3 linked regions of the Lonchura striata genome follow. The protein of the gene in region 2 purifies or fractionates together with the protein of the main gene of each other region. This does not show direct contact. Links are inferred from orthologs where the notes say so. Each region holds a gene or a part of one and is shown on either strand. Other genes may lie near its edges.

What was found.
Region 1: the proteins of TNRC6C (region 2) and AGO2 purify together in Homo sapiens (co-immunoprecipitation; 6 studies listed by BioGRID and IntAct, with this or other methods). This does not show direct contact. The link is inferred for Lonchura striata from reciprocal best matches to the Homo sapiens genes TNRC6C and AGO2.
Region 3: the proteins of TNRC6C (region 2) and PAN2 purify together in Homo sapiens (affinity purification with western blotting; 3 studies listed by BioGRID and IntAct, with this or other methods). This does not show direct contact. The link is inferred for Lonchura striata from reciprocal best matches to the Homo sapiens genes TNRC6C and PAN2.

What each region holds. Positions count from the first base shown.
Region 1 is NC_134603.1:5,032,636-5,040,455, reverse strand, and holds the start of AGO2 (protein argonaute-2), read right to left. Parts: upstream 3,070-7,820; 5' UTR 2,925-3,069; coding exon 2,894-2,924; intron 1-2,893.
Region 2 is NC_134621.1:3,508,847-3,515,991, forward strand, and holds the start of TNRC6C (trinucleotide repeat-containing gene 6C protein), read left to right. Parts: upstream 1-4,144; 5' UTR 4,145-5,297; intron 5,298-7,145. UniProt on the Homo sapiens protein: Plays a role in RNA-mediated gene silencing by micro-RNAs (miRNAs). Required for miRNA-dependent translational repression of complementary mRNAs by argonaute family proteins.
Region 3 is NC_134629.1:5,588,717-5,596,252, forward strand, and holds the start of PAN2 (PAN2-PAN3 deadenylation complex catalytic subunit PAN2), read right to left. Parts: upstream 3,070-7,536; 5' UTR 3,068-3,069; coding exon 2,795-3,067; intron 548-2,794; coding exon 378-547; intron 1-377. Other genes in the region: IL23A (interleukin-23 subunit alpha), read left to right, coding at 6,790-6,978. UniProt on the Homo sapiens protein: Catalytic subunit of the poly(A)-nuclease (PAN) deadenylation complex, one of two cytoplasmic mRNA deadenylases involved in general and miRNA-mediated mRNA turnover.

The DNA of each region.
Region 1 (7,820 bases), on a different chromosome or scaffold from region 2:
TACAAGTTTCAACAGCCTATTCACAGTTTTTAAAGGGTAACTTACAACTAAATGATAAGAAAATAACTTTAGTTCCACTAATTTAATAAAGTTGTTTTTTGTGCTAGGGAAAAAACGTTGGTATTCCACACACAAAGCTATAATCAACTTCACACTCTTTTTCAGACAATTGCTGCTTCAACAATACATTAAGACCCTCAACATCAGGCAAAACCAAATATCCTTTCAAAGAATAAAAATCTGTGGTGTGCAAAGTTTAGAATTAATAAATACACTAACACTTAGAAGTGCAGGTTCCAGAAGTTTATACAGCTTTTAATCAAGTCTTTATGCCACTTTGACATTTTTCTGTCCTTCTAAGAAAAGGTACACCACAATATCAAAGCAGTATCAAGATTTTTCTGCAAAAAATAATTTCTTGTCAGATTTTCAGATTCTTTACTTTTCACACTTTCTTGAGCTAATAAAAAAGGGTATGGACACAGTGTCGCAGCAAATTCAACACCAAGTCAAGCAAAAAGGGATCATTAAATTCCTAATTATGGAAACAGTGATTTCATGACAACCCCTTCGTGCACAAAAACCAACCTTACTCCTGACATCAACAGCACGTTTGAGCAAACTTTCCACGTTCACCAGCAATGTTTTGAAATCAGTCAGAAATGGCCTCATAACTTGCTTGATTTTGTTTCCATGAAAATAATTAAGGCTAAAATAGCAAACCCTGGGGCAAATTGAGCGGTTCCTCTGGCAGGAGGCCAGCACCAGAGGCACCCTCCGACGGTCTCGCTGCAGAGCCCAGTTTGGACAGGGAGCTGGGAGAGCAAAGCCGCTCCTGCGCATCAGCGGCTCCGGCAGGGGATCCGGACAGAGCAGAGATGAATGGAGCCTTTCCCTGGTGTCAAGGATGTGCTGACAGACCTGGAGAGGCTGCAGCCCTCTGCTGTGTTCACAGCAGCTCTGGCTCGGTGAGGGGTTGTAAACCACACTTGTGCTCTCTCCTCCGAGCAGGATTTCACACACAGTGGGTTTGTAGTTCTCAGATTAACATGTGGCAGGGGACTTCACAGTCCCTGCTTCCAGGCTGGTTCACAGAACAGCCACGCTCTAATAAAAATCTCCAGGATGCCCTGCCTTGTGTGTGGAGTGGAGCAGGAAGCTGCCTGGGCTGCCAGAAGCCACTGAGCTGCTGAGGCTGTCCGTGGATGATTTCACAGGAAGGAAGCAGAGCCTCGCTCACCATGTGGAGAACAACTCGCAGCTCCCACCCCGGCACAGACACGGGGAAAGGGCTGAGCCACGCTGATAAACTCGGAAGTAAACAAGACACAAGATGAGCTCGGCTGGAGGCAGCAGAACAGCAGGAGCCCGAGACACACACCGGTGACAACCCACAGCCACCTAGAACTTGGTGAAAGTACAGCCGAGTCAGCAGCCCGAGGTTAAGACGTTGTTGTTCCAAGAAGGTGAAAACATTCCTTCACACCAAACGTGCATCCCTGACGGCAAACAGCAGCCACCAGCTGGGAGAACATTCCAAGTGAAAGGGAAAGTGGTAGGATCGAATAGAGAGTAAATAAAGATAAAGAGACTCCCACACATGAAACTACTCTCAGCCCATGTGCTGGTAATATTTTTAATTACCTGTCTCCTTAAGCACATTTTCAAACAAGATCACCACGAGGTGAACATAGCATCAGCCCGATGTTGAGGCACCATGAGCACCTGTAAACTGAAAGTGTACCTGTGCCTGAGCAAGGGAACCCGACACCAGAAACCACCAAAGGATTACACCTGTAGTTCTACAGTTATCGGTACTGAAATGTGAAATGTGCAATTGATGTTACACATGAAAGCAAGATCGTGAACACCAGTCTGGGGACACAGAGCTGTAGAGACCTGTCTGCCTGCTGTGCCCGGTGAGAAAGTAAAAACGGAGGATCTCTACTTCAAGAGGAAAATAATCATCCTGATTGTCTTTCCTAATTATTGCCCCTTCAGGAGAACCAAGTCAGAGGAAAAAAAGAAAAAAAAAAAAGCCAGCACCTAACAGTGGATCCCAAAATATAAATGCTTTTACCAAAGCGTCTGTAAGAGAAACACTAAAAGACATCTCAGTTACAGGTCCTGTACTTCCCTACACCAGTCCTTGCTAGATTATCCCTCTAACGGAAGAAATGTTTTGCAAAACAATTGAGAACAGTGGGATAAAATAAAGTTCCATTTATTCTGCAACTTTTCTACAAGAAAACTAGGTGCCAGTCACCCAAACACTATTGTTTCTACATAAGAATTCTCACCGCAGAAACAACCTAACACTAAAAAGGAGAAAACATTGTCTCATACGAACTGCACAAACTCGCACAGTATTAACCTGCATTTCCCCAAAGCGATACTAAACTCTCCCCGAGAGTTGCTAACCCTGCTTTGCACGTCCACCTTTCCTTTGCTCCCACGCAGAGCGAGCCTGAGGACACCTCACGCTGCCCCTCGCCTCCCCCAGCCCTCCCGGCATGCGGACGCTCCCCGACCTCCAGAGCACAACTATCGCAGCGCGGCCTCCGAGGAACACGCGGCCAGCCGGGAATCCCAGCATGGAGCCGGGAGAGAGGAAATGGAGACCCCGGTCCGCAGCGGGAGCTGCTCCGGCCTCGGGGCCCGGCGGAGGGAGGGGGAGCGGGGCAGGGAAGGCGACCCTCCCCTCAGAGGCGCCTCCGGACACGCGGCCCGGCCCGAGGCGGCGGCGGCGCCCTGACCCTCCTTCCTCCCCGGCCAGCGCGGCCGCCGCTCCAGCCAGGCCCGAGCCGGGGGGAGCGAGGCGCTCCCGGGGCTCCCCAGGGACACGGACCGGGAAAGCCGCTCCGGGGGGAAACAAACCCGGGCGAAAGCTCACCGGGTCCGGCGGAGGGGGCTCCCGGGTACATGTCTCCGTGTGTGCGGCGGCGGAGGCGGCGGCGGCTCCAGGGGAGGGCACGGGGGAGGGAGCGAGCCCGAGCCCCGGTTACGCTGTCGGGGGAAGGGGAGGAGGAGGAGGAAGGGGAGGGGGGAGGAAAAGAAAAGGGGAGAGGAGGAAAAAAAAAAAAAAAAAAAAAAAAAAAGAAAAAAAAAAAGAGGGAGGAGGAGGAGGGCCGGGAATCCAGGTTACTCGTCGGCACTGAGGAGCGGGGAGGGGAGGAGGAGGAGCCGCGGGTCACGGGGAAGGAGCGCTCCGCCCCCCGGCCGGGCGGGCGGGAACGGCCGCGGCAGCGGGACGGGATCGGAGCGGCGCCGAGCCGAGGGGCCCCGCTCCCCGCTGCGGCCCCCTGTCCCTGCCTGCAGCCCCGCTCCCCGCTGCGGCACCCTGTCCCCGCTGCAGCCCCGCTCCCTGCTGCAGACCCCTGTCCCTGCCTGCAGCCCCTTGTCCCAGCTGCAGCCCCTTATCCCAGCTGCAGCCCCTTGTCCCAGCTGCAGCCCCTTATCCCAGCTGCAGCCCCCTGTCCCTGCCTGCAGCCCCCTCTCCTCGCTGCAGCCCCTTGTCCCAGCTGCAGCCCCGCTCCCCGCTGCGGCACCCTGTCCCTGCCTGCAGCCCCTGTCCCTGCCTGCAGCCCCTGTCCCTGCCTGCAGCCCCTGTCCCTGCCTGCAGCCCCTTATCCCTGCTGCAGCCCCCTCTCCCCGCTGCAGCCCCCTGTCCCTGCCTGCAGCCCCTTGTCCCAGCTGCAGCCCCTTGTCCCCGCCGCAGCCCCCTGTCCCTGCCTGCAGCCCCCTGTCCCCGCCGCAGCCCCCTGTCCCCGCCTGCAGTCCCCGCCCGAGCTCTGCCCGCGGAGTCACAGCATCAGCCAGGCTGGAAAAGTTCTCGGAGATCACCGAGTCCAGCCTGTGACCGGACATCACCACGTCCACCGGACCAGAGCACGGAGTGCCATGTCCACTCTTTATCCTTAAACACTTCCAGGGATGGTGACTCCGCCACCACCCTGGGCAGCCCATTCCAATGTTTAATCACCCTTGCTGTGGAGAAGCTCCTCTTAATGCCCAGCCTAAACCTCCCCCGGCACAGTTTAAGACTATGTCCTGTCATCCTGTGGCTTTCAGTGAGACCTTGGAAAATGACTTTGTGCCTCTAGCACTTTCTCCGATACCTCTCCCTGTTACAAGTGTGAGAGGTATGCTGGAGTTGTATCAATAGTACACATACTGCTGGATCTTGAATTAAAATTAGATGTGTTTGTTTATATTCTTTTATTCCTCCTGTTGCTCTGAAAACCTCAGCTCAGTAACCTCATGGATTCCCACATCCACTTGTAGTCATATCTATGAAACCCAGCTGTGGTGGGGTTGCCTTATTGTCTTTGTCAACCTGATAATGTCTGGTACTGCACACATGTAATGTTTAGTACAACCAGATAATGTACTTGAGAAAACAAACTAGAAAGGATATGAAAGAGCCAAAGTGCTGATCAGTATGATACACTGAGACACTGGAGATATCCCTGGGGGAATTTCAAAGACATGGGTGTGGCATGTGGGGACATGGGTTAGTGATGGACTTCCCAGTGCTGGGTTAGTGGTTGGACTTGATGATCTTAAATGGATTTTCCAACTTAAACAATTCTATGATTTCACACCAGAGATGACAATTCCTGCAGGAACTGTCACCCTTTTGTAGTTACCTAATTAGTACCTCTTCCATTCAAAAGAAAGCAGGAAAAATAAAGTTAAACCTGCTAAGGAGGCAAAAAGCAAGTTAATGATGCTCACTTCCACTGGAGTTACCTACAGAATTCCAGCAGAGCCGTGATCCATACTTTCAATCACTTCCTCCATGTTGATGTGGAAGCCTTTAAAAAATGTATGCAGTTTTCAACCCAGAACAGTCAAGCCCCGTCAAAGTCAACTGAATTCCTTCGCCAAGTATTATCTGCCAAAGAGCAAAGCAAACATACAGCTTGTAGTGTTCATCATGCCAATTAATATCCTTCTTCATCAGTTCATATTTCAAGTGATACAGAAGCATCTCACTGTTCCAAAGTATTTACTCTCCCCTTTGGGTCATACTTGCAGATATTCGAGGGCTGCAATGAACAGCTCAGCTTTCACTTCAAGTGAACTGCTCCTGAAACCATTGTCACCACTAGAGTTTCCACTGGAGTGATTTTGGATTTGTCTTCATTCCAGGCTTCTCAAATTGCTGGAAAGTAAAGATTTACCTGTAACTATAAACAAATAAAGGACAAAATTATGGGCCAACTTTAAAGTAAAGCCAAGCAGGTCTAAGAAAAAGATAAACAAAGGAGCTGGCAAAGGGGCTGCTGTTTTCCTCCCTAGGAGGAGCTGGGTAACATTTTTTCACAACCACCAATAATTTCTCATATATATCTTTACTGGAGGCTGAAAAAGAGGGTGGATGAGGAAAAATACCCAAAAACAAGAGCCAGAAGAGGCACATTTGACCTTTCTGCTGAAGTGGCAGGAGGAAAACATGCAGTTTCTGTATCAACATCTAATTTTTTGATGCTATATTTAAACCAATCTCTTCAACCTGATTAGGAATATAACTTTCTCTAATATTAGACATACTATTGTGCCTGTTAGACCTGCATTACCTTTGTTCACACACTCATTTTGGGCCATGTCACTTGCTTTATTTCCAATGCTTTCTGTCACTGACAACTGCTGTTTTGGAGCACAGTGAAACCTAATTATGTCTTACTGGGCCATTTCACTGAAAAAAGGCTTCAGTTCTTGAAAAGGTTTGTTCTGAAAGAGAGTTTTGAAAGCTCTGTAACAGCATTTTTTTAAGCATGGTCTTTATATGCTGTATTAACAATTATACGGTAGTGTAAGAACAGCTTCTTAAACACTTAAAATTAGGTTTTTCAAAAGAAAAAAAATTAGTAACTGCTGGGCACAATACCTTTCTTAACTGCTGAATTTCAAGATGACATTTCCCAGAACTGATATCTGTCACAGTAGAAATTATTAATTTTGGAAAAAAGTATGTACTAATAATTCTGAAGCAAAGATGGTATTTAGGAGCAGCATTTTAAAAATCATTTATAGCAGTGGCAGCAATCTAGGGAAAATATTTTATACACAAATAGGCTAGTGACAAATGATACAGCTTTTCTTTTTATGAGAAAACATAACCTAAGTAACAACCATTCCCATTTTAAATTTAATTAATTTTAAAACCCCAGAGTTTATAAATGTCTGACAGTCATTGTTTGCAATGATACAGTAGCAAAAATTTTTACTCAGAGCTGAAAGATGTGAATTTTATTCTTGACTTGGAAGGGATTTAAGCTCTTGTTTGTCATCTCTCAACTAGCCTAACTTTTAAGATGTTATCCTGCAGTACATGCATTGGACCTGGCACATATTCTGCATTCTGCTTTACATAAGAATTTAAAATCAGAGCCAAAGTGAAGAAGTTCATGGCTCTATGCACTAAAGTGTTCAAATTTTACAAACACTTTGAGGGTTCTGGCCCCCTGCTCAGGAACTGTTTGTTATTTTAACAATTAGATATTAAACCACAATTAATCCATGGTGGAGGGACCAAAACATGATTTTTGTCTTTCTATAGATAACTCTCCCAACTACCAAGTTACAAAACTGCATTTATTTTGTCAAATGAATTGCAATAATAATTTATATTTTAAAAACCCAAAACAAAACAACTAATTATCATTAGATTACTAACTTCAGTTCACTCAAAAAAACAATTTTTTCCAGCTGATCAGGGCCAACAATGCAACAATTCAACTTGATGGAAAAGATGCAGCACCACCTATTGGGGATGTGTTACACTCACTGGTTGTTACAGTTTCAAGAAATACCAGAGTTTTGTTCTTCATTGTAATGACCTTGTTACAGTGGAAAAAACAAACAAACAAAAAACCACCAAAAACAACAACAACAACAACAAAAAACCCACCTCAACCAAAAAACAAAAAAATCCAACTAGGAACAAAAAAGACTTTCCAGAAAGAAGATAAAAGAAGTAAATACTGTACCTGAGACTGTTCACCAGGAAAAAAAGCATGTTCCTAAGTGCCACATCTACATGTCTTTTAAATACCTCCAAGGCTCAATCCCTTCACTGGGAAGCTTGTTCCAATGCTTGACCATCCTTTCCATGCAGAAATTTTTCTTAATAGTGAATTTAAACTTCCCTGAGTACAACTTGAGCACAACTTGAAGTAATTTCCTCTCATCCTATCATCATTACCTGGCAGAAGACACCAAGCCCCACCTTCAGCCTCCTGTCAGGCAGCTCCTTCCCTCCCCAGCTTTGTTCCTTTTCTCCAGACAGGTTCCAATGTCCTTCCTGTAGTAAAGAACCCGAATCTCAGCACAGGACTCGAGGTGTGGCCTCCCCAGTGCTGACTACGGGGGGACAATCACTGCCCTGGCCCTGTGGCCACGCTTTGCCTTTGGTCACTGAGAAACTGCAGCCTTAGAATGGGACAGAGGCAGCTTGAGGAGAGAAGAATCACCTCAGGAAGGTTATGAGCAGCAACCAAATAGTGTAGCAAGGACAAGAACAGAGAAAGGAACAATCAACTTCAAGTCTCCTTGGTAAAGACCTCTTGAGTCTGACCACTTTGATGACCACCAGTGGCCTTGGTCATGTTCTAACTCTCAGCATCAGCTCTGTAGTGTTCACACAGCTAATTCAGGGTGAGGTGCTAAGGGCTGACTGCTTTTTGTATGATAATGACAGAGCTTGCTGATGTTTTCATCTTCCTTGGCAATGCACAGGCACATCCAGCGAGATCTCTGCCACTGCTCCTCACCATCCATCCCCCAAGTGTCAAATATCCACCTCAGGGAAGTTT
Region 2 (7,145 bases):
TGGTTGGGTGGCCAGGAGGGATGTGGATGCACCCTTCAGAGGGACTTTGTACAAATGGCTTGCACATTCATATTTTCCTTGGAAAACTTGAGAAGAGCCTGTGGTGTCCTGGATCCTGAGTGATCCTGCCCATCCAACCTCTGAGCATCACCTCAGGAAAGGGAGAGCCTTGGAGCTGTAGCTTCACTTTGTGTGGGCTCTGGGAAATCCTGTTCAGCATCAGAGACTGGATTCTCCTTAAGGAATGGGGTTGTTGTTTTTGTCACTGGAGCAGGGCTTTGACTTTAATTTTTTGTGTGCTTGTTATTGCTGGGTAAGAAGTGCAAGGAGTGCTTGGTGACAATTCTGTGCTTGGTTGGATGATACAAAACCAAGCAAGAGACATCTCTAAAATCTACGCTGGAGGAATATTTTGCCTGGGTGTGGTTGAGCCACCCAACACAGCCCTAAACGTGGGAAGACCTTTGCTTAGCTGGGCTTTGTCACTCTCAGCAGAGCAAACGCTGCATCTGTGTGAGTGCCTGGCTCTTTGTGCTCAAAGCCACCCACCTAACACACCCTGGGGACACTTTGGTCACAGCTTTTCCCTGACAGACTGGGTTAGTGGAGGTTTACGAGGCAGCACTGGAATTCCTCCTGCTCTGGGAGCACTCATGCGCTGGCATCATCTGTCCCTCTGCCTCCCCTTCACACCAGCTCACATCTGCTCTTACTCACATGTGACAAAAGCCACTACCTGAGCACTGGGGGCAGGAGAGCCTTCCAAGGCAGCAGCAGCTGCCTGGAGCCCTGGTTCTGTGCTGGAGCAGCTCTGGAAGAACACAGCTCAAGGAGAAGCCCGTGCCCTGCCAGGGTGCTGTCAGCTCAGGGCAATGAGGGGACAGATGCACCATGCGTGGTGACAGCAGCCACCAGCTGCTGACACCAGGTGACAGAGCCTCAGATGATGCTGAGGATCTGTGCGAGCCCCCAAGGAGAACAACCAGGGGAGTGGGAGGGCAAAACCCCAGTGGGAGACCAAAGCAGGGGGAAAAATAAAAATTACATTGGATAAAGCCCTGTGTTCAATGGTAAAAAAGCTCAGGTAAGACAGGAAAAGTTTAGTAGAATGTGTTTTTATCTGTTAAAGACAGTATTTTGGGACAGGGGTGACAAACACAACAGGCTTTCTGTGTCTGTGGGGCTGTGGTTATAGCATGCTTTTGATAGTAATTTCTCCAGGGCCAAGAAAAGAGATTAGTACACAAATCACTTTCAGTTTTATTCCATTTTGACATTTCAGGGTCTCCAGCAACTTGGCACCACTCTGCAAAGCCAGAAATATTTGTGTGGCAAAAATGTGTTTTGAATTACAAATATTTCAACGTTCACAACATGTAACATAGGAGACCAGGAACATTCCTTGGCACAATTGCCAAGCAGAGGTTTTGGTGCAGGGCAGCCTCCTGTAGGTGCTTGTAGTGCCATAAGCATGGCATGTGGCTTCTTCTGTTCTGCTTCTTGGAGTGGCTGGCTGATCAGGAGAGCAAAAAATCTCCTTGGAAAGCAGCAGTGGAAAATCCCCTTGGAAAGCTGCTGCAGCTCCGGGGTGGGTTTGGAAGGAGTCTATAGGTGCTGACCTACATTTAAGTAAGGAGAGTGAGGGGAAGCTCAGCTGGCCCTTGGGATGACACAAGGGCATTTTCCCTCCAAGCCAGGTCTGTCACCATCCTGGCGTATGAATTCATTCCCGGTGAAAGGTGCCAGACTGACATTCAAAATATGGGGAAAAAAAAAAAAAAAAAAAAAAAGAGCCTTCTTCTTAATAATTCTTTCTCTTCTTTGTGCTGATGAAATACAATGGGACATTTAAATCTGATTTTTATAACATTTTGCATTGCTATAGATCATGGTCTGACCTGGAGAAGACACTTTGTTCTGACTACAATGATCTGATATTTCATATTTTAGTGGCTTTTTTTTTCTTTTTTTTTTTTGTCTTCCCCACAGTATTTCTGTTGCATTCTGGCACAATATGGGCTCCCTCCAGTGGTCAAGGGGCTCCGGGCTCCTGGTGTCGTTTGCCCAGAGGCTGGCACAGGGTGGCTTTGGGGCTGGCATCACAAATTCCAGCGGGAATCGTACCGGGACCGTGCTTCTGTCCCCTCGAATGCCCCGCTGCGGGTGCCAGTCCCCGGCAGCATCACCAGCCCTGCCCGGTGAGCCCTGCTCCGCTCAGATTTCAGCGGAACAGCCCCAGCGGATAAAAATCCACGCTCTGGATTTCCTTGCACTTCCCAAAACGTTCGCTGCAGAAGTGGGGAGAGGAAACAGGAGAGGAGAGAAAACCGGAGATCTGCTGGAAAGACCCAGACACAACAATTTTTAGCAAAGAAAAAAAAAAAGACTAATTTTTTGCATTCCGCTCTTCCCGCGGTATTTTGAGACCAGCTCCTGACTTTCTCCTGACAGAAGCAGCTAATGTGGTTGTTGTGGGGGACAAGCCAGCCGCTGCCACTCTGAAATGTGACATTTCCATCTCCCCTCCCCGACCTGCGCAGCTCCCCGGGCTTGCTCAGCCACGGGCGCGTTTCAAACACCGGGATTGTTTTTGGAGGCGCCTGGGTAGAACGGGGATCCCCTCCGAGGGCCGAGAGCCCTGCATGGGTACCCCGGGAGTGTCACCCAGGGGTGTCCCTGCAGGTGTGCGCTCACAGCTGGCACAAAGAGGGGGGCTCCCGGCAGCTCGGGGTGCAGCAGGAATGTGTTTAACCCCCTTTTCCACCGCTGTGTGTGTGAGAAAGCACTGATGCCGTTTCCCGGGTGGGGATGACATCCCTGTACCCCTTTGATTTGACACCCACGGGTGGGGGTGACCTCCCTGTACCCCTTTGATTTGACACCCACTTTCCTGTATGGGGGGTGTCCCCCCCGTACCCCTTTGATTTGACATCCACTTTCCTGTATGGGGGGTGTCCCCCCCGTACCCCTTTGATTTGACATCCACTTTCCTGTATGGGGGGTGTCCCCCCCGTACCCCTTTGATTTGACACCCACTTTCCCGGGTGTGGGTGACCCCCGCTGTACCCCTTTGATTTGACACCCACGGGTGGTGGTGACATCACTGTACCCCTTTGACCCCCACTTTCCCGGGTGTGGGTCCCCCCGTACCCCTTTGATTTGACACCCACTTTCCCGGGTGTGGGTGACCCCCGCTGTACCCCTTTGATTTGACACCCACGGGTGAGGGTGACATCCCTGTACCCCATTGATTTGATCTCCCCGTACCCCTTTGATTTGACACCCACGGGTGGGGGTGACATCTCTGTACCCCTTTGACCCCCACTTTCCCGGGTGAGAGTGACCCTCCCTGCACCCCTTTGATTTGACACCCCCTGTACCCCTGTTATTTGACCCCCACTTTCCCGTGTGGGGGTCCCCCCGTACCCCTTTGATTTGACACCCACGGGTGGGGGTGACCCCCGTGTACCCCTTTGATTTTCCCCCCCGTACCCTTTGATTTGACCCCCATTTTCCCGTGTGGGGGTCCCCCTTTGATTTTTTTTTGGGGGGGAGGACCGAGCTCTCCGCCCCCTCCCCCCGCGGGGCGCGGGCTGGGCGCGCGGCGGTGGCGGGAGGGCGCGCGCCTCGGCGCGGAGGGAGGCGGTGGGGGGCGTGGCCCGCGGCGCGCGCGCGCGCTCATTTGCATAGGCGTCGGCCTCGCCGCCCGTTTGGCCGCGGCCGGCGCGCTCATTTGCATCCGCGTCACGTGGGGCGGAGGGCCGGGCCGGGGGCGGGGCCGGGGGCGGGGCGGGGGGGGCAGCGCGCGCCAGCTGCCGTTGGCGGCCGGCGCGGGAAGGGGGCGCGCGCGCGCGGAGCCGCCCCGCGGTCTCGCGCTGCCTGGCGGGGCTCTGTCAGTCAGCGACAAAATGGCCGCGGCGGCGGCAGCAGCAGCGGCGGCGGCAGCGGCGGCTCCTCGCCTCCCCAGGGCGGCACCGGCGGCGCGGAGGAGCGGGGGATCGTCCCGGCAGCACTGAGCCCGGCACCCGCCTGCCCTTTGCGAGGCGAGAGCGAGCGGGAGAGAGAGAGAGAGAGACGGCGAGCGGCGCTGCGTTCCCCCCCCACCACCCCCTCCCCCTTCTGCATCCCGGCGGACCGACCGAGCCTGCCCGAGGCGCTGCTGCGGCTCCCCGGGGACACGCCGCCCCGCTGCCCAGCCGGATCCCTGCGGAGGACACGGAGAGAGCCGCGGCATCGCCCCCCTCCCGCCTGCCCGCGGAGCCCGCTGCGAGTCCCCGCTCCCTCCTCCCTCCGTGAAAAGACTTTGCTGGATCCTCCTCCCCGGGTCCCCCCTCCCCGCGCTCGCCGCTTCCTGCGGGAGCGGCTGCTGGATCCTCCTCCCGGCCCGGATCGCCCGCGGGGTCCCTGCGGAGCCGCGGACCCTCCTCCCCCGGCGGGGACAGCGCTGGATCCTCCTCCTGCCCGCAGCCCCATGCCAGGCTCCGCATCCCCCCGTGCCTCCCGCCCTGCTCTTTGAGGCTTTTTGCTTTTTTTTTTTTTCCACCACCACCACCCTCCTCCTTTTATTTTGAAGGGGGGATCCATCTTAAAACTCTTTTTCTGGATCCCGGTTTCTCTTTTTTTGATTTGCACTTTTTGAAAAACCCTCAGATGCTCCTCCATGTGGACTGAGAACCCATCAAGACACACACACCAGAACTCATCCCGATCAACTCCAAATCCTGGCTTTCCGTGGGTTTTGCTGCAACACATGAAAGCAAACTTGTATTTAAGACACACTCGTGCAGAAATTTAGCTGGGGACTTGAACGTGTATTTTGTCTTGGTTTCTTGGTCTTGGTTATTTTTTGTTGTTTTTTCTTATTTTTTTATTTTGCTTCACTGGAAATCAAAAGCTTGTTTTGGAATTGGACCTGCTTTTGCTGCACTTCTCCTCTGGGCTGGATAACACTGAAGCTCCTTGCTTTTCTACTTGGATAGTGTTTTCCTGTTGATCTGCTGGGGTTTTTTTTTCATCTCCTGTGTGGCAGACTTTTTTTTTTTCCCTGAGGGGGGTAAACAAACGACGACAACAACAAAAAACTTATTTTTTTTGGCCGTGTGAGATTTTTTTCGTATTCATATTCGTGAAATTACGGGTACATTTACAAAAAATTAAAAAAAAAAAGAGAAGCATTAAAGATAAGAAAGGAACACGTCAGAAAGACCCCTACACGGTAGACAAAATACTCACTTGTTTCCTTACAGCAAGACTGAATCGAAAGCTGCCAAAGAGCCCCATAAAGAAAAGACTAAAAGGTAAGAACGGGTAAGAGCCTTTCTTAATCTGGGCACGATAGAAGTTAGCAGGGGAAGAGACCTGCAAAACCTGTGCATTCCTCCTTTTTCACAAATCTAAACTAGATTATTATTATTATTTTTAAATTGTTTATTAGTCAGCGAAGCAAGGAACACCCCCAAACATTTCAAAATCCCTTTTATTTTTATACGATTTTTAAAAAAACGCGAACAACCTCCGGATTTTTTTTTAATGGTAGAATTAATTCGGTATTTTTCCTCTGTCCGGAATCGCTGTTTGGCCACGAAGAGCGAGCAGAAAGTGCCATTTGTGAGCATGTTGTGCCATTCAGACATGACACGAAGGCAGCTTCTGCTGCAAGGCACGACCGTGTGCTCTTGCTTTTTAGAACTTACACGTGTGAAAATTATCGCAGAGCGGCTTGGAAATGATCCCAGGGCTGGGAAATTGTGGGCATGGCCAGCAGTGCTGCCCTGTGGGCGAGCACATGAGCTCCAGCTTTGTCCTTCATGGCTGCTTTCTCTTAAAAAGTTAAAATGTTCAGCTTTGGTTTATTTTTCCTCTTTTCCCCCTCCGCCTAATGAGATTGTGAGGATCCGCAGTCATTTTCTCCTGAGTATCCACAGAGAGATCTTCGTCTAAACCTGGAATGTCCAGGGGGAGAGAGAATATTAAACTGAGTTTATTCCTTTAACTGCGACGCAGGAGGGGAGGAAAATGGGAAGGGCTCAGTTGTTAACCTGAGAAATCTTGAAACGCTGGAAGTTTATTAATTGTTCGAGGCTTCTTTGTTTGTATCACAAGTTTGTGTCAAAGGTTAATCTTCTTAATATGTAATTAGTTGAAGGTTCAATTATGGGATTTATTGAACTCAATTGGGTTTCCCCCCTCTTTTCCCATTAAAAATAATACTGCAGGTCTTTGTGACTAGTTTATTTTCTGCTACAACTCGAGTGTATCTGCGAGAAGAGATTTATTCAATTATTCTAACAGCCAGTTTAAATTTAGAAATAATCTTTGGGACGTCATACCCGTGTCTGTTGCATATTTTCCCTTCTCGTTTGCATATGTATGTATCTGGCGAATTATGCTAATTTATGTACAGAAATTTGCTGTGGACATTAGGCCGGTTAAGGTAATTAAAATTCCAATAAATCCCGCTGTTAGTGGTGCAGAGCTTTAAATCAGGTGGGTGTCGGTGGTGCTGTGGACCTGAGGACAATGCCAGAGCGGAGGACCAGGAGAACATCTGCACTGCTGCTGGATGCGCTGGGAGAGCCAGGCATGGCTTCCAAATCCTGCCCTCCTTCCCGGCGGTGGGTGGGGTTTTTTGGGCTTTTTTTTGGGTTTTTTTTTTTCCTTTGGATTCCCCGACGACTGAGCATTTAAAAGGAGTTTCCTCTCGGATATTACATTTTTTAAAAATAATAATTTCGAGAAGGCAGTGGGAAGGTACACACGGGTTCTCACTGCTTCCCCTGGTGTTTTCCAAGGAAATAGGAGGTGACTTGCAGTGGGTGCAACCTGTGCTTAGCATATCACGGAATTTCCTTGCTGCAGCCCTGTTCCTGGGGTTCAGGAATCCCTGGGATGTCTGCCTGCCTGCTCCTGTGTGTTATTTGTGAGCTCAAAATGGTGTGCTGAGCAACAGCCCCCGGATGCTGTGGCTTCTGGAATTCTTTCCAGACGTGAAAACATCAGTGTCAGCCCTGGATACCCCAGTGAGGAAGCTGCTCTGGGGAGCACTGTGGTGCTTTTTGGCTGGGATTGCAGAAGCCTTGCTGGTGGATAACCTAACCTGGCTGCTTCCGAGCCCGAGACTCGCAGTCTGTGGGAAAAAAAAAAAA
Region 3 (7,536 bases), on a different chromosome or scaffold from region 2:
GACCCCAGGGACCCCTGAGAATCTGACAGCCCTGACACCCCAGAGACCCCTGAGACCCCAGGGACCCCTGAGAATCTGACAGCCCTGACACCCCAGAGACCCCTGAGAATCTGACAGCCTTGACACCCCAGGGACCCCTGAGACTCCCAAGACCCTAGGGACCTCTGAGACCCCTGACACCCCAGGGACCCCTGAGACCCCTGAGACCCCAGGGACCCCTGAGACTCTGACAGGCCTGACACCCCTGAAACCCCTGAGACCCTGAGACTCCTGAGACCCCAGGGACCCCTGACACCCCAGAGACCCTTGAGACCCCCAAAACCCTGCCCAGCCCCTGGAGGGATCAGGGAAGGGCGGGAGGGGCCGGGAGCACTCACAGGTAGTCGAAAATGATGAGGCCGCCCCGGGACAGGTACTTGAGGTTGCTTTTGGTGAGGAACAGGACGCCATTCTCCAGGCTCTGGATCTGGCGGATGTCGTCGCTGCTGTTCACCTGGAAGGAGGAGTAGCGCTCCAGTGTGGGCCCGAAGAAGGAGGTGGCGTGGCCCTGAAAGCAGAGGGGACAGGGATGTCACAACCATGTCCTGGTGGGTGTGACACAGCCGTGCCTCGCTTCATCTTCTGCCAGATCCCAGATTTTCCAGGTTATGGGTGCATTCCTGGCACTCCTGGGTGCTCCAAACTGGGGGAAGCAGCTCAGGCTTTTGCCTGGATAAATAAAAAATCCCAACACATCCTCTCTGCCCGGAAAGCAGAGGGGACAGGGATGTCACAACCCCATGTCCTGGTGGGTGTGACACAGCTGAGCATCACTTTTTCCACTATCAGATCCAGGATTTTCCAGGTTATGGGGGTTTTCCCACAACCCCATAACTCCAGGTTATGGCTTAGGATTTTCCAGGTTATGGGTGCATTCCTGGCACTCCTGGGTGCTCCAAACTGGGGGAAGCAGCTCAGGCTTTTCCCTGGATAAATAAAAAATCCCAACACCACCCCACAGCAGTGACAGGGGAAGCAGTGAGAGGTTTGTGCTCCGAGAATTTACAAGGATAGATCCAAGGGGAAAGGTTTGAAACCAAAAGAGGAGATTTAGATGGGATGGAGGGGTGAAATTCCTCCCTGGGAGGATGGTGAGGTGCTGGAATCTCCCAGAGAAGCTGTGGTTGCTGTGGAAGTGTCCAGGGCCAGGTTGGACACGGCTGGGAGCACCCTGGGGTAGTGGAAGGACGAGGAATGGGATGAGTGTGGAGACCTTGGAGTCCTTCCAGTGGCTGAAGGGGCTCCAAGAGAGCTGGAGATGGACTTGGGACATCAGCAAGGAGCACCAGGACAGGGGACAACGGCTCCACAGTGACACAGGGTGGGGTTAGACAGGATTTTGGGATTAAACCCCTCCTTCTGAGGTGCTGGAATGGATTTCCCAGAGGATTCCCAATCCTTGGAAGTGTCCGAGGCCAGGCTGGACCGGTGGGAGGCCATGGCAGGGTGGTGGAACAGGTGATGTTAAGTTTGAATTTTAACTCAAATTTAAATTTGAGTTTTTTATTTTCCAGATCTGTGACTGCTTTAGGGTGTTAACTCGAAAACTCCACAGCCTGTCAGCTGCTTTTTTATTCAGACAAAACAGCTCCTCTCTAGGCCTGAAACCCAAGGACACCTGACTGTCTCAGGCCCTGAAAAATGCAAACAAAAAGTGAATTGGGGGGAGCAAACTGGGGGAATGTGATTGAATTACCTGCAGGTGGAATTGGACAATTAAACTCTGATATGCAAATAGAGCAAACTTTTATCTGGCTGAAAATCTTGTGGGTTTTCATCCCACCTGGGTGGGGCTCTGCGAGCTCCTGCACTGCCCGAGGTGCACCTTTGAAGGCTTTTTAATAAATAATTTGATTTATCCTTCAACTCTGGCTAGTCTCTGTTCTAGGGAACCTCTCCAGGCGTCACCGGGTGAGTTTTCCTCTCCTTTTCCATCCCACAACTCCACCAAACCCCAAAACATTCCCAGAGCTTCCCAAAATCCCCCCAGAGCTTCCCAGAACCTCTCCAGAACCTCCCAAAACCTTCCCAGAACCTCTCCAGAACATCCCAAAACCCTCCCAAAACCTCTCAAAACCTCCCAAAACCTTCCCAAAACCTCTCCAGACCTTCCCAAAACCTTCCCAGAACCTCTCAAAACCTCCTTGAAACCTCCCAAAACCTCCCCAAAACCATCCCAGAATCTCTCCAGAACCTCCCAAAACCTCTCCGGAACATCCCAAAACCTTCTTGAAACCTCCCAAAACCTTCTCGAAACCTCCCAAAACCTCTCCAGAACATCCCAAAACCTCCTCAAAACCTCCCAAAACCTTCCCAGAACCTCTCCAGAACCTCCCAAAACCTTCCCAGAACCTCTCCAGAACATCCCAAAACCTCTCAAGAACATCCCAAAACCTTCTCAAAACCTCTCCAGAACCTCCCAAAACCTTCTCAAAACCTCCCAAAACCTTCTCAAAACCTTCCAAAACCTTCTCAAAACCTCTCCAGAACATCCCAAAACCTCCTCAAAACCTCTCCAGAACATCCCAAAACCTCCTCAAAACCTCCGAAAACCTCTCCAGAACATCCCAAAACCTTCCCAGAACATCCCAAAACCTCCTCAAAACCTCCGAAAACCTCTCCAGAACATCCCAAAACCTTCCCAGAACATCCCAAAACCTCCTCAAAACCTCCGAAAACCTCCCCAAAACCTCTCCAGAACGTCCCACCCCCTCGCCAGCCCCTCTGCGGAGCCTCCCAGCCCCTCGCCACGTACGCCGTGGTTGCCGACCCACAGCATCTCCTCGTGCAGGTCGAAGTGGGCGACGGCGGCGGGCACGCCGACCTCGGAGACGGCCGTGTGCAGCTCGCTGTACATGCCCTCCAGCAGGTGCACGGGGTCGGGCACCGGGAGCCCCTCCAGGGCCACCCCCTCGGGGTCCAGCTCCACCAGGCTGGGGGGCAGGTGAGGGTCCAGCACCGGCTCCAGCGCCGGGTGCAGCGGGGCCGCGAACTCGGCCAGCGACGGGGTCAGCCCCTCGAAGTTCATGGTGGATCCCGGCCCTGGAGGGGGGACAGGGACCGGGGAGGAGGCTCAGGGACACCTGGGGACACCTGGGGACACTGAGGGACACTGAGGGACATTTGGGACACTGAGGGACACTGAGATACACTGAGGGACATTTGGGATACTGAGGGACACTGAGGGACAACAGGGGACACTGAGGAACCCCATGGGACACTGAGATACACTGAGGGACACTGAGGGACATTTGGGACACTGAGGGACACTGAGGGACAACAGGGGACACTGAGGAACCCCATGGGACACTGAGATACACTGAGGGACACTGAGGGACATTTGGGACACTGAGGGACACTGAGGGACAACAGGGGACACTGAGGAACCCCATGGGACACTGAGATACACTGAGGGACACTGAGGGACATTTGGGACACTGAGGGACACTGAGGGACAACAGGGGACACTGAGGAACCCCATGGGACACTGAGATACACTGAGGGACACTGAGGGACACCACGGACACTGAGGGACATTTGGGACACTGAGGGACACTGAGGGACACTGAGATACACTGAGGGACACTGAGGGACACTGAGGGACACTGAGATACACTGAGGGACACTGAGGAATATTTGGGACATTGAGGGGCCCTCAGGGACACTGCGGGACATCTGGGGACACTGAGAGACATTTGGGACACTGAGGGACACTGAGGGACACTGAGGGACACCACGGACACTGAGGGACACTGAGATACACTGAGGGACACTGAGGGACATTTGGGACATTGAGGGACCCCATGGGACATTGAGGGACACTGAGGGACCCCCATGGGACACTGAGAGACATTTGGGACACTGAGGGACACTGAGGGACATTTGGGACACTGGGGGACACTGAGGGACATTTGGGACACTGGGGGACACCAGGGGACACTGAGGGACACCTGGGGACACCGGGGGACACTGGGGGACACTGAGGGACACTTGGGACACTGGGGGACATTTGGGACACTGGGGGACACCAGGGGACACTGGGGGGGACTTGGGGACACTTTGGGACCCCGTGGGGTGCCAAGGACACGCTGGGACCTCGTCGGGCACCGTGGGAGTCCGTGGGGTGGCAGAGGACACCGGGGGACACCGTGGGGTGCCAGGGGACATCTGGGGACACTTTGGGGTGCTGGGGGGTGCCAGGGGACCCCAGGGGACACCGGGGGACCCCAGGGGACAGTGGGGGACACTTTGGGACCCCAGGGGGTGCCCGGGACCCCCGGAGCTCCTGGAACCGGTGACAGGATAGGAACGGCAGATCCCCGAGTACCGGGCAGTGTCCCGGGGCACCGGGCAGTGTCCCGGGGCACCGGGGAGCGGCCCCCGAGAACCGGGCAGTGTCCCAAAGCCCCAGGCAGCCAAACCGGGCCCCGCCCCGTCCCACCCCCGGTGCTCCGAGCCAGCTCCGCACCCGCCGCCTTTATCACGGCGGGCCCACAGCGATCGCGCCGGCGGGAGCGGCGCTATCAGCGGCCGCAGTGCCGGGCGGGGCCCGGCCCGAGCGGCCGCGCTCCCCGAGCCCGGAGCCGCCGCCGCGCCCTTACCGAGCCGCCGCGGGCACCGCCGCGCCGGGGCCGCGCTGCCGGGCTCGTCCCGCTGCGCCGCCGCCGCGGCCGGGCCGCGCCCGGAGCCGCTCCCGCCGTCGCTACGGCAACCGCGCCCCTGCCCGGTGCACCGGGCCGCCCCGGGACACCGACCAATGGCAGCGCCGAGCGCCGGGAACCGACCAATCAGCGCCCGGGGGAGGCGGGGCTAAGCGGAGCGGGGCGACGGGGCGGCGCTCGGGACAAAAAGGAGGCGGGCGGCGGGACCGCGGTGGGGAGCACCGGGGGAGTCCCGGGACCCCCGGGAGCCTCCCGGACCCCCGGGAGCCTCCAGAACCCCCGGGAGCCTCCCGGAGCCCCGGGAGCCTCCCAGACCCCCGGGAACCTCCCAGACCCCCGGGAACCTCCCGGACCACCGGGAGCCTCCCGGACCACCGGGCGCTCCAGAACCCCCGGGAGCCTCCAGAACCCCCGGGAGCCTCCCGGAGCCCCGGGAGCCTCCCAGACCCCCGGGGACCTCCCGGACCACCGGGAGCCTCCCGGGCTACCGGGAGCCTCCAGAACTCCCGGGAGCCTCCAGAACCCCCGGGAACCTCCCGGACCCCCGGGAGCCTCCAGAACCCCGGGAACCTCCCGGACCCCCGGGAGCCTCCCGGATCCACCGGGCGCTTCCCGGACCCCCGGGCGCCTCCCGGACCCCCGGGAACCTCCCGGACCCACCGGGCGCTCCCGGACCCCCGGCTGCGGCTTCTGGGGTGCCACGGGTGTCACGCAGCGTGCCCGGTCACCCACGAGAGCTTACGGTGTGTCACGGAGCAGCCCGGGGCGTCCCACGGGGTCTCACCGTGTCCCACGGAGTCCCACGGGGGTTCCACGATGTCCCACGGGGTCCCACGGGGGTCCCACGATGTCACACGGGGGTCCACAGTGTCCCGGGAACCCCGTGGGGTCCCCACAGTGTCCCCAGCTGCCCTTCAGTGTCCCCCACTGTCCCCTGGGGTCCCCCGGTGTCCCCTGGGGTCCCCTGGCACCCCCCAGCACCCCAAAGTGTCCCCAGATGTCCCCTGGCACCCCACGGTGTCCCCCGGTGTCCTCTGCCACCCCACGGGCTCCCACGGTGCCCGACGAGGTCCCAGCGTGTCCTTGGCACCCCACGGGGTCCCAAAGTGTCCCCAAGTCCCCCCCAGTGTCCCCTGGTGTCCCCCAGTGTCCTGAATGTCCCTCAGTGTCCCCCAGTGTCCCAAATGTCCCTCAGTGTCCCCCGGTGTCCCTCTGGTGTCCCTCAATGTCCCAAATGTCCCAAATGTCCCCCGGTGTCCCTTAGTGTCCCGTGGGGTCTCTCAGTGTCCCAAATGTCCCCCGGTGTCCCAAATGTCCCCCAGTGTCCCAAGTGTCCCTCAGTGTCCCCCAGTGTCCCCCGGTGTCCCGGAGGGTGCCTCAGTGTCCCAAATGTCCCCCGGTGTCCCTCAGTGTCCCGTGGGGTCTCTCAGTGTCCCCCGGTGTCCCTCAGTGTCCGCCGGTGTCCCCCGGTGTCCCCCCCGTCCCACCCCGTCCCCGGTGTCCCCCATCACCCCCCGTGTTCCCTCGGTGTCCCCGCGAGGTCCCCGAGTGTCCCGAGCTCCCGGCAGCGTCCCCGGCCCGGCCCCGGTGCCCGCGGCGCGCCCGGTGCCGGGGAAAGCCGGGGGCAGCCCCGGCGGGCGGAGCGGGAAGCGCCGGAGCCGCCCCGGCGGGACCGCCGGGATTGCGGCACGGCACGGCACGGTCCGGCTCGGCACCGCGGGGACACCGCGGGGACACCGCGGGGACACCGCCGGGACGCCGCCCGGACGCCGCCGGGCTCCCGGTGCGCCCGCCGGGGCAGCCCAGGTGCAGCGAGGGGACGTCCCCGCCGCCGGTGCCGGTGGCGATACCGGTGCCGGTGGCGATACCGGTGCCGGTGGCTCCCATCCCGCCAGGAACTGCCCCGGGTTTTCCTGCCCGTCCCGGTGCGGCGGGGCGCAGCGTGGGGACCCCGGCCCGGTATCGGTTCTGCTTTCGAGGGGCGGCGGCGGCGGCGAGGGGCGGGAGCCACCTGCCCCGGGATTCCCCACCTGCCGCCGCCCCATAAGAGCCCGGTGGCGGCGCCGGTGGCGGCACAGAACGAGCTCGGATGGCTCCGCTCCGCCGCCTCCGCCTCTGGCTGCTCCTCGCTCTGCTGCCGCCGCCTCCCGCGGCACCGGCACCGGCACCGGCACCGGCGCCGGCCCCGCTCCGCCGCCCGGACTGGGCCGCCTGCCGGGTCCTGTCCCGGGAGCTGGCGCGGCTGCTGGGGACGGTCCGAGAGCCGCACCCGGTGCTGGTGAGAGCGGCGGGGCTCGGCGGGGGCACCGGGGGCTTGGGGAGCACCGGGGGCTTGAGATTCACCGGGGGCTTGGGGAGCACCGGGGGGCCCGGCGGGGATACCGGGGGGCTCGGGAAGCACCGGGGGCTCTGCCAGGGGCACCGGGGGCTTGGGGAGCACCGGGGGACCCGGCGGGGACACCGGGGGGGCTCGGAAGCACCGGGAGGCTCGGCGGGGGCACCGGCGGCACGAGGAGCACCGGAGGGCTCTGCCGGGGCACCAGGAGCTCGGTGGGGAGCGAGGGGTTCGGGAAGCACCGGGGGGTTCAGCCGGGGGCACCGGGGGCTTGGGAAGCACCGGGGGGCTCGGGATTCACCGGGGGGCTCGGTCGGGGCACCAGGAGCTCGGTGGACAGCGAGGGGCTCGGGAAGCACCGGGGTCTCGGGAAGCACCGGGATCTCTGCTGGGGGCTCCACCGGGGGGCTCGGGATTCACCGAGGGGCTCGGGAAGGACCGGGGGGCTCGGGAAGCACCGGGATCTCTGCCGGGGGCACCGGGGGGGCTCGGGAAGCACCG